Coturnix japonica: one gene and its partner. The main gene of each other region encodes a partner of the protein of the gene in region 2 in a complex. Links are inferred from orthologs where the notes say so. Each region holds a gene or a part of one and is shown on either strand. Other genes may lie near its edges.

What was found. The genes of interacting proteins can lie anywhere in the genome.
Region 1: WASHC1 (region 2) and WASHC3 share a complex: the UniProt entries of both Homo sapiens proteins name them as parts of the WASH core complex. The link is inferred for Coturnix japonica from reciprocal best matches to the Homo sapiens genes WASHC1 and WASHC3.

Annotation. Positions count from the first base shown.
Region 1 is NC_029516.1:56,773,866-56,778,791, reverse strand, and holds the start of WASHC3 (WASH complex subunit 3), read left to right. Parts: upstream 1-1,879; 5' UTR 1,880-1,962; coding exon 1,963-2,013; intron 2,014-2,382; coding exon 2,383-2,481; intron 2,482-4,240; coding exon 4,241-4,306; intron 4,307-4,830; coding exon 4,831-4,926. UniProt on the Homo sapiens protein: Acts as a component of the WASH core complex that functions as a nucleation-promoting factor (NPF) at the surface of endosomes, where it recruits and activates the Arp2/3 complex to induce actin polymerization, playing a key role in the fission of tubules that serve as transport intermediates during endosome sorting.
Region 2 is NC_029516.1:52,606,591-52,611,474, forward strand, and holds the start of WASHC1 (WASH complex subunit 1), read left to right. Parts: upstream 1-1,718; 5' UTR 1,719-1,792; coding exon 1,793-1,799; intron 1,800-2,384; exon of another isoform or gene 2,385-2,486; intron 2,487-4,884. UniProt on the Homo sapiens protein: Acts as a component of the WASH core complex that functions as a nucleation-promoting factor (NPF) at the surface of endosomes, where it recruits and activates the Arp2/3 complex to induce actin polymerization, playing a key role in the fission of tubules that serve as transport intermediates during endosome sorting.

The DNA of each region.
Region 1 (4,926 bases), about 4.2 Mb from region 2:
GATACTTTCTTAATAAATACTCCCACTGAGGGTTCAAGTATTAATAGTTACTCTGTTTTTCACTTTTCATACCCTGTGCTTCCTAATTCCAGCTGGGAAAAAAAAGAAAAAGAAAAAAAGAAAAAAAAAAGTGCTGCATTGCAGTTTTCTATGCAGTATTTCATTGCCAAATTAAAAGCAGGAAGTACCAGAAAGTTCACAGAAGATCGTATTCTTGTGAGAAATTTTTTTGTCCAACTTTACAGACAAAAGAGTTTCAGATAAGATTTAACTAAGCATTTACATTATTAAATTGCTTCAGCCTTGCCTGGAAAACATTACAGACATTTTATGGTAAATGAGATTAATGCTTCTTGCATATAACTAAGGGATTTTTTGAAGTAATTAAAGTAGAAGCATTCGCTTGGATCATTTAGCAGTTCCTTTCCCCAAAAATAATTCACACAATTCCTATAAAGTAGATTAAACCTACTGAACTTTATAGGGTAGCCCCTGCCCTGCTTTTGAGAGATTAGGAAGTTGCCAACTGCGTGTCCTTACCCCACAACATAATAGGAAATAGGGTTTGCTCAATAATTCCAACAGTATGGGTGAGCAGATTTACTTACGTAATGTTTTACTAAGAAGTAACAAGGGGTGTGACAGCGGGTTAGTTAAAGAAAGTTGTAAGCATGAAATAAAAGAAAACCTGCTTCCTAGATGAATTAGGGTTTTATGTAAGCATGGAGTAGCAGATCTAGGTGCTCTATCTGCAGCTTTCTAGCTATCAATCACAGATTCTGAACGTGGGGTCTGTAAAATGCTTGGCAAAACGAAATCATTTGGAAGTAAACTCATTTTCATTTTAAACATTTTAAAAGTAGCAGGGCAGTTTGGGGTTATAATCTTCAAAATATTAGGAAAAAAAATAGTGTTTTTTTCTTTCTTCATCACATGAGAAGCTTCCTACTGACAGCTTCCAACTATGGTACATTCTTAACTGCTCTAAATTTAGATAGCTTTTTATTAGATTTAGATTAGATTAGATTAGTATTCACATGTAGCCAGGGAGAACTTTCACCAAGAATTTCCTCTGCTACATGCTAGTTGGATTTGCTGCTGTAAACAAGGGCTCCATATCACCCTGATTTTTCTTGCCTTCCAGTAGTGCACAATCTTAGAACTGAAATGAAGCTTTACTTAGTGAGTTGGGCTGCTTCTTGTTCCATTGGAAGAAAGATTACCAAGGTAGCACATCCCATCATTCTGGGACCTTGGGTTGCTTAGCTTAGATACTCCAAAACTGACCCTTGACATGAAGACTAGGAATTCAGTGTTCCCATCCCTTTTCCAAAGGACAGATTCTATTCTGAACTGAGTCTTCCTGGCTAACACAAGTTCTGAGTCTCCGAGGATCTGCCAATGGATGCAGTTTGCATATAGTGTTCAAGCTGAGGTGTACTTACCAAACGCGAGTGCGCCTAATGCTCTGTCTGGAGCCGTGTCTATGGGGATTTAAAGCTAATTTCTCATCTGTCATTTGGAGTTAATCAGATTAAGGATTAGGTGCATGATGTACTGGCAATTGCTGACATTTAATGGAGACAACGTGTTCTCCTGTTGCATGACTTGTTCTTTTACCACTTAGGTCTCTTAACACTTGTCTGGCAGATGAATCCCAGAGAACAGATGGCTTAAGCCAGAAAGGACCCGTTCAGATGCAGAAATTAATTATTTACTATTGAACAACATGGACACCGTTAACACAGAGGAGCGGCGCGGAAGGACAAGCAGAGCAGCACACACTTGTAGTCCGAGCCCCTTCCCGAACTACACTTCCCATGGTGCAGCCTGCAGCAGCACACATGCGTAAACCAACCAGCCCCGGCTTGGAGGGCGGGCAGGGAGGTTTTATTTCCGTGCCGAGGACGCTTGAATACAGGTGGGGTTTCCGGGGTGCGGGCAGTCTGCCGGCCCGCGGGGATGGATGAGGACGGGCTGCCCATCGTGGGCTCCGGCATCGACCTCACTAAGGTACGGCTGCGCCTCGCCTCACCTGGCGCCTCGTCCTTCAGCTGTGTCGGCCCCAGCGGAGCTGCTTCATGTGCAGCGCTTTAACAGCGTCGCATAACATGTAACAGAGTGTTAGTGGGAAGGTTTGGCCTCTGCTGTACCACCAACATCTGCCTCTGGTGTCATGGTCCAACATTGGACACGTTATTTCTGCAGCAATCTTTATGTGTGTTACATAGCTCTTGTTTTTATGCACCCATAGCAAACACACCAAAGGCTGATCTTTAAATATTATTTCCTGAATTTCTGCCTTTTTCAATACATATTTTAGTCCAAACGTGAGGATTAACACCCACAAACTGTCTCATTTTCTTGTACTGTTTATTGCAGGTTCCTGCTATTCAGCAGAAAAGAACTGTAGCGTTTCTAAACCAGTTTGTGGTTCACACAGTGCAGTTTCTGAACCGCTTTTCTACTGTTTGTGAAGAGGTATGTTTGCTGCTTTCCATCCCTCACGTTATTTGAAGAGAAAGATTCCTAGAAATGAGAACCATTCGCTTCACTATTCTTGCTGCATTCGTACGAGTAGCTTTAGAGTTCAGTCTGCTTTCTGCTCATCTTGAATGCATTAAGATGGATTTATTTTTTTTTTTTTTTCTCCAGGGTATTCACATACTGATTATGCCTCACTTAACCTTGTTTCGTTGAACTTTTGTATTTGGCATAGCTTTTTCTGAGAGCCTCCTACTGTGAATATAGTCTTGTTTTGGAAAGAGGCTGCTCTGTGTTTGTGGTGCTGAAACCGTTCTGACAGTCCCCGTCCCCTTCATCTGTGTCATAGGGCAATGTGTTAAAACTTGCTTCCAGATTTCTCTGCCTCTTGGCAAGTGGGTTTTGTCTACCATATTAACATTTAGAGTTTCTAAATAAAAGTAATTAAATAAATAAGTTTGGATTTTCCTGACTTGGTATATGGGATACTGTCACTGTCTGGTGAAGTTATCAGTTGCCCGGAACTGAATTTTCATGTAAACTCAATATTACTTATTGTATAGGCACCGCAGAAATTGAAGCATATATACAGAATACTGTCTCGAGCATGGAGCAATGCTGTGAAGTCTAGTTAACAAAACAGTTATTAGTTAGCATAAATGTGTTTTTGCTAAAGAGACTAAGTGGTTACTGTACGTGCTTGAAAAGATTTTGCATTTAAGAACTACAGAAGTGTTTTTAATGTAAATGGTCCCAGTGTAAGTCAGCAGAAGTCAGGAAATTCAGAATTAAAGCTGCCACCAGCCTACTTCTAAATGATTGTCAAGCTGATACAGCAAGTTTTAGAAGTGTCTTTTGAGCATCTTTCCTCCCCTTTTGTCCACTGCTTGCAGAGCATGTAGTTCCTTTCAAGGAAGCCAACTTTTCTTTGCAAACAAAGAACCATCTGTAAACAAGTCAGCGTACAATCCAAAAAGACTAACTTTTGTCACTCTTGCTTTTCCAGCACATTGGCAGAACTGCCATTTCCTTAGGGTGTTAAAGCTCTGCTTAAGAGCCAGGCAGAATCTTGCCCACGTGCCAGAGAGCTGTCAGAGTGGTACATATCTGCCAGCCTGCATGCTAAGCCAACTTCACTTGGACAGGTCTGGTGGAGTATGGTAATGATTAGTTAACAGAGTGATGGTGCTTATAGAGTAATTTAGAGAAACTTGTTTGTAAGAAAAATATATCAAAATTTTATTGATGTACGCTTAGAGAATATAAACCTTCTGGTGAGTTCAGGTTTGCCATGACTATCAAAGACTTTCATTCATCTGCTGTAGCCTTTATCAAATATTTCTATAACATGCTCAGTTATATATGTGCACATTGTATCTCCTTTCACATTTGGGAAAAGCTTTGAAGAAATTTATTTTGGTCAACTGTGAGAGTACAGAGTGTCTGCCATTAGTCTGCTATTTGGTTGCCCAAAGTAATACCCTATTTACTTTGGCTGCCATTTATACATAATTTGTCTTCATTTCTGTCTGTCAAATAACATGTAGTAAAATTGGTTACAATTTGAACCACTCTAGCTACTGTACTAAAAAGGGAAGATGGAATTGCTTCATTTATTTCATGTATGTTATCTCATTTATACTCTACCGTCTTTTGCAGGTTGAAACGGAGATTTTATTTAACTACTTGTGAATGCTTTTATGTATACTAGTGGCCCAGGAGAGTGTTTTCAAATCTTAATTGTTTTCTATTCTAGAAATTGTCAGCACTCTCTCTCCGTATCCAGCAAATTGAAACAACACTCAATATACTGGATGCAAAGGTTTGTATGCGTACAACTGTAACTTTGAGCAGTGGCAGCTTCTGAGATTACATGGCTAAGAAAAGAAAGATAGTTTGAATTGAGCAAATAGGTTTTTATAATGATTGGAGGAAGCTAATATGAAGCACTTGCATGGCAAACTCTCTTTCTGCATTCCCTACACTTACAACATTTGAACGCATAGTAGATATGGAGGAGAAGAATGGCATATTGTGGAAATGTTGGTTTTGTCCATCTTTAGGATACAGAACTGAAAAGGTATGTTTGGATCATGGGAGGGGAACTGAACTACATGGCAGTTACTTGTGTTATTTTTATTGCAAAGCTTTTTTTTTTTCTGTGGCCTCAGAGAGCTTTAGACTAATTCAGATGCGATGAACTAGAACTAGTGATAAAATATTACAGTTTCATTAATGTGAAACTCACCTGTGGAATATGTAGTAAGTGCCATACTGCAGATTTTCTGCTACGTGTAGACTTTCAATATGCTCACTGCTTATTTTGATCATGTTTTGTCCAATCAGTTATCCTCTATTCCTGGCTTAGAAGATGTCAAATTTGAAGTGCCCAGTGCAGATCTGAATAGTGTCACAAGTAGTCCCATGGCACCACCCACTGCA
Region 2 (4,884 bases):
AGAATAAGCACTCTAGAGGGAAAGCAGGGAGAAGACAAGTGCCCCGAGCTGCTTTGGATCAGCCCCACAGCTCACAGCAAGGATCAGTACGGACAGCAGAGCCGAGCGTGCAAAGCCTCTGTGCAGCCTGCAAGAAGAGCAGTGGGAACAATCTCTTTCATTTCTCCCACAGGCCAAGGGCAAAGCCAGGTCTGCCCTGAGGGTGAGAGAGGGTCTGAGTCACTACCCTGCCATGGCAGAACTAAGTGCCTGGAAGTGCATAAGCCAGATCTCTTTGCAGCAACCCTGACTAGTGTCTCCTGTTGGTATCAACTTGGGGAATGGCACTGGGAAAGCTGGAAGGCATTTTCCAAACCAGCAGCTAGTGCATTTCCTAATTGCAAAGCCCCTGAAACACTGTCATGTATGACTTGGCATAACATTCAACGCTTCTTTTTGCAGCCTATGGAAACTGCTGTCTAACTGACTGTATGGGAAGCAGGACTTTTGTCTAAATCCTCCCTCACCTGAGCAAGCATGCTTAGGAGCATTCCCTTTGTTGGGGAAGAAAAATCTTTTGCCTGGTTTTATTTCTCTTTGCTAAAACTTGTCAGCACAAAGCAGAGAAAGGGAGAGTTTGGTGGACTGTCAGTCAGCTCCTCAGGGATCCCATCCTCAGTATCACAAAGATTAAGCAGTGAGATGTTATGAAATGCAAATATTAAAGAGAGAGGAAACCATGTGCATTATTCCCCTGGCTGGAGATGGTGCTGCTCAGCCTCTCTGTACCAGTTGGGTGGGCAGAGGGAATCACTCAGCCAGAGATTATACCCCCAGCCTGCTTGCATGCCTTCACCTGTGGTGGCACATAGCCACTGCTCTCCCAGTTTGCCTCTGGATTATTTCTGTGCTGGTAACACCTACACATTCCCAGTCACTTAGGTCTTGTTTGCGCAGGGAAGATGTTTGATGTGTGACAGGGTTACACAAGAGTTCACTATGATTTAGGGCATCTCGCCCACTAATGCAGTCTCCCTTGTACTTTGTCCAGTGCACTGCTACGCTGCTGTCACTTCTTACATTGGGCTTACCAAGTCCCTGCTGCTCTTCTGCCCCTCCATCTCTCTGTCTCCCTAGCCTAACACTCACTCTCTTCCCTCTATCCAGTTCTGTTAGCTCTCTTCCTGCCTCACACTAAGTGATCTGGCAAACCTCATCCTCAGCATGGCTGGGAGGGGAACATGGGAAGGGGCTTCATCAGCCTGCCTCCACCTTCTGCTTTGTATTACATTTTATAAGCGCAGAACTGGATTGTTATCTGAGCAGCAGAAAGCACTTGGAGGCCTTTCCATCAGCAGTATATAAATAAAAATGGATAGGAATAGATTGGATTGTTGCTTCTTACATCTGCTTCCCTATCTTCTCTCTGACAGGTCCTGACACCCACACACCTGCTCAGACTTCACTACATCTCCTTTTTTCTTTTGTCTGCTTGGAGTTCTGGCATCATTTTACATCCCTCCCTCCCTTACAGAGAGTTCTCAAAGCTCTTAGCCAGGCTCAGAGCTCTCAGGCCTTTTGCCCTCACGTTCTGTATACGGACAGGCCTTCCCAGCCCCATTATTAAAGCACCACAAACATGGCGGACGCCCCCAACCCCACTAAGCGCCTCGCTCCCCACGCGCATGCGTACTGCCCCCACCCCACCCCCCCGCGGCAGCCGGCCTTTTAAGCTAGGCGGAAGTGACGTAAACTAGGGGCGGAAGTGGGACTGGGCGCTGCTTCCTGTTTGCTGCCGGGGTGTGTCCGGCTGATGGCAGGTGAGGGGAGCTCGGCTGGGCCGCGGGGTCGCGTTTGTTTATGGGTCTCTCCTCACACACGGGGATAATGAGTCTGAAGTGCCCGATATGGAGCATTGCCGCCCGGCTCTGCCTGTTTAATGGCTGGGCTCGCAGCGCTGATACAGGGCACCCGGGAGGGCCGAGCTGAGCGTCAGAGGTCGTGGGGTAACGTCGTTCCCCTCTGGTGTGGGGTTGTAAATGAAGTTAAACTTAGGGATGTGAAAAATAACGAGGGAGGATTCTTTAGGTATCTTATTCATAAGAGGCAGGCAAAGGAGTGAGGAGACTATACTCCTTCTGATGCTTCCATGAAGAAGGCTGAAGTATTTAATAAGTTCTTTGAGTCTGTCTTCACTGCCTGGCTTCCCATATCTCTCATGTCCCTGAACCTCTAGGCAGGAGTTGGAAAAGCAGAATCCCCTCCATCTGGAAGGGTGCAGCAAGTCTGAGACCACCTCATGAGACTAAATGTGTACAAGTGTATGGGACCAGACAACATGCATCCCAAGGGTCTGAAGGAACTGTTTGGTGTAGTTACCAAATGACTCTCCATTGTATTTGAAGAGTCGTGGCTGTCAGCTGAGGTCCCCAGTGGCTGAAGAAAGGGAAACTTCACTCCTGTTTATAAGAAAGGGAAGAAGGAATTCCTGGGGAACAACAGGTTCAGTGAGTGTCATGTCTGTGTTTGGGAAGATCATAGAACAGCTCATCTGGGAAGCTAGGTTAAGGCATATGCAAGATGAGGAGGTGATTCGTGGCAGCTAGCATGCCTTTACCAAAAACAGATTGTGCCTGACCAATCTGGTGGCCTTCTAGGATGGCATGATGGCTTTGGTGGACAGAGGAAAGGCAACCGATGTCATCTACCTGGACTTGTGCAAGGCCTTTGATGTGGTCCCATACCACATCTTTATCACATGAGGGGTCTGTCTTGGGACTGGTGTTTATTAACATCTTTACTGATTACGTAGATGATTGATAGGATCATGTGCACCCTCAGCGTGTTTGTAGATGACACCAAGCTGAGTGGTATTATTATTATTGACACAATATAAGGAAAAGATGCCATCCAGAGGTATTTGCATGGGTTTGAAAAGTGGGCCTCTGAGTCTTAAGTCTGGTCTTACAGTTGGGTGAGGGGCAATCCCAGATATGTCTACAGACTGGGAGAAGAACTCAAGAGCAGCTCTGTGGAGAAGGACTTGGGAGTTCTGGTGGATGAAAAGCTGGGCATGAACCAGCAGTATGCGCTTGCAGCCCAGAAGGCCAATAGTATCTAGAACTGTATCAATAGAGAGGGGGCCAGTAGGGTGATTGTGAAGGAGGAATGGTTTTAAACTAAAAGGTGGAAGATTAAAATTAGATGTCAGTGGAAATTTGAGGCACTGGAACAGGTTGCCCAGAGAAGCTATGGGTGCCCCATCACTGGAGGCAGTCAGGGCCAAGTTGGATGGGGCCCAGGGCAGCCTGAGCTGCTGGGTGGCACCCCTACCCATGGCAGGGAGGTTGGAGATCAATGATCTTTAAGGTCCCTTTCATGTGGTGAATGTTGGGAATCCACATCTAGCACTGATGAGCACTTCCTGGTGTTTTAGTGCAGAACAGAAGCCGTGTTGTGCTGAGGTTTTCCTCCTCAGTTTTTATGCTTTGGTTTCAGTGCTGAGTGGTTGTAGAGCACCTAGGTTTTCTGAGAGTCTTTCCCGGTACCCCTGGGGGGAGAGTAGGCTGGTTCTTGACTTCTGCAACCTAACTTCCAGCAGAGCATATAGGAAAGTGCCAGCTGTGGCGGTGGCATTTTGTGTAATTCAAGCAAATGTCAGCTGGCTGAAGTTGACCTATTTGTCTCATTTAGGTTGCGCTTTGGGCACCGCTGGCAGTGTTCTATGGACCATATCGACATCTCCTAGTAGTTAGAAGCTGAAAGTGTCACTATTTCTTGCCTTTCCACTGAAATGGGGATACTTCCTTGAGCAGAGAAAGGAAGTGGAGCGGGTAGTGCTGCTCCTGCCAGGGGCAAGGGCTGGAAGCAAACTGTCTTTGGCATGACTTTGTAGAGACTTTGTGCATTTTGGTTGTCCTGGGAATCAGAGATGCTCTGGTCAACTGTTCCTAGACTTCCTCTAGGAAGCTTGGCTAGAGGCTGACAAGCTCTCATGATACTTACGTCAGACTCTTCTGAGTAGCAAGCTGGGATGTAAGGGCTGCCCAGCGTGTATTTTTGTTACTGAAATGCTTTGGTTAGGGAGGAACAGCCACGCCTCCAGAGCCCTCAGGCAGAAAAATGCCTGCAGCACTCCCGGAGCAGCACATGCTGATCTTGTGTCTGTCCTTCCCCCATCACTTTGGATATTCAGATGGAGTTTTTAATCTTCATTCTTTCAAATAAAAAGCGGTGTTCTTTTCTCTCAGTTCTGGAGTTCATTGGTAGGATAACTGAGAGCAGATAATTGCTGGGAATTGCTGTGCAGTCAAGCTTCTGGGTTTGGTGGTACCAGGTAGCTGTAGTCACCACATGATCAGCCTGAATAGTGAAAGAGCATGGTAGGGATTGAGTGTTGGGGAGAATTAGTATTGAGATAAGCCCGAAAGCAAAGCAGATTTTTTTTTTTATCTTTTAAGATTGAAGATACTGTGCAGAGGAAGAGGACGATTATGTCTGAAATTACGATATTGCCTGTGACCACGGTGTATTAGCTTGAAGGGAATCATTTTTATCGCTCACAAATCAATTTCTGCAGCTACTCGGATCTGTTTGGACCTCTTCACAAGATAACCCTTGCCAGAAAATAGTTCATCCAGCAGCTTGTTTAGTGGGTTATTGATTCTTCAGGTGTCTCTCATTTGGGCCAGTGTTTTGTCAACTTCAGTTATCCAGGATGCTTTGGGAAAGTGTATGGTTGTTGGATTATGCACTTATTGCAATAGTTTGATAGGAAGGGAGGGCAGGCTTTTTTCTGAACCAAACTCGGCAGGAGCCTCTGCAGCAGCCCTTGAGCTGGTGGGACGCTCTGGCATTTAAGAGAACTTACTGCAAGGAAATGGACCTCAAAGGGACTTTTGGCTT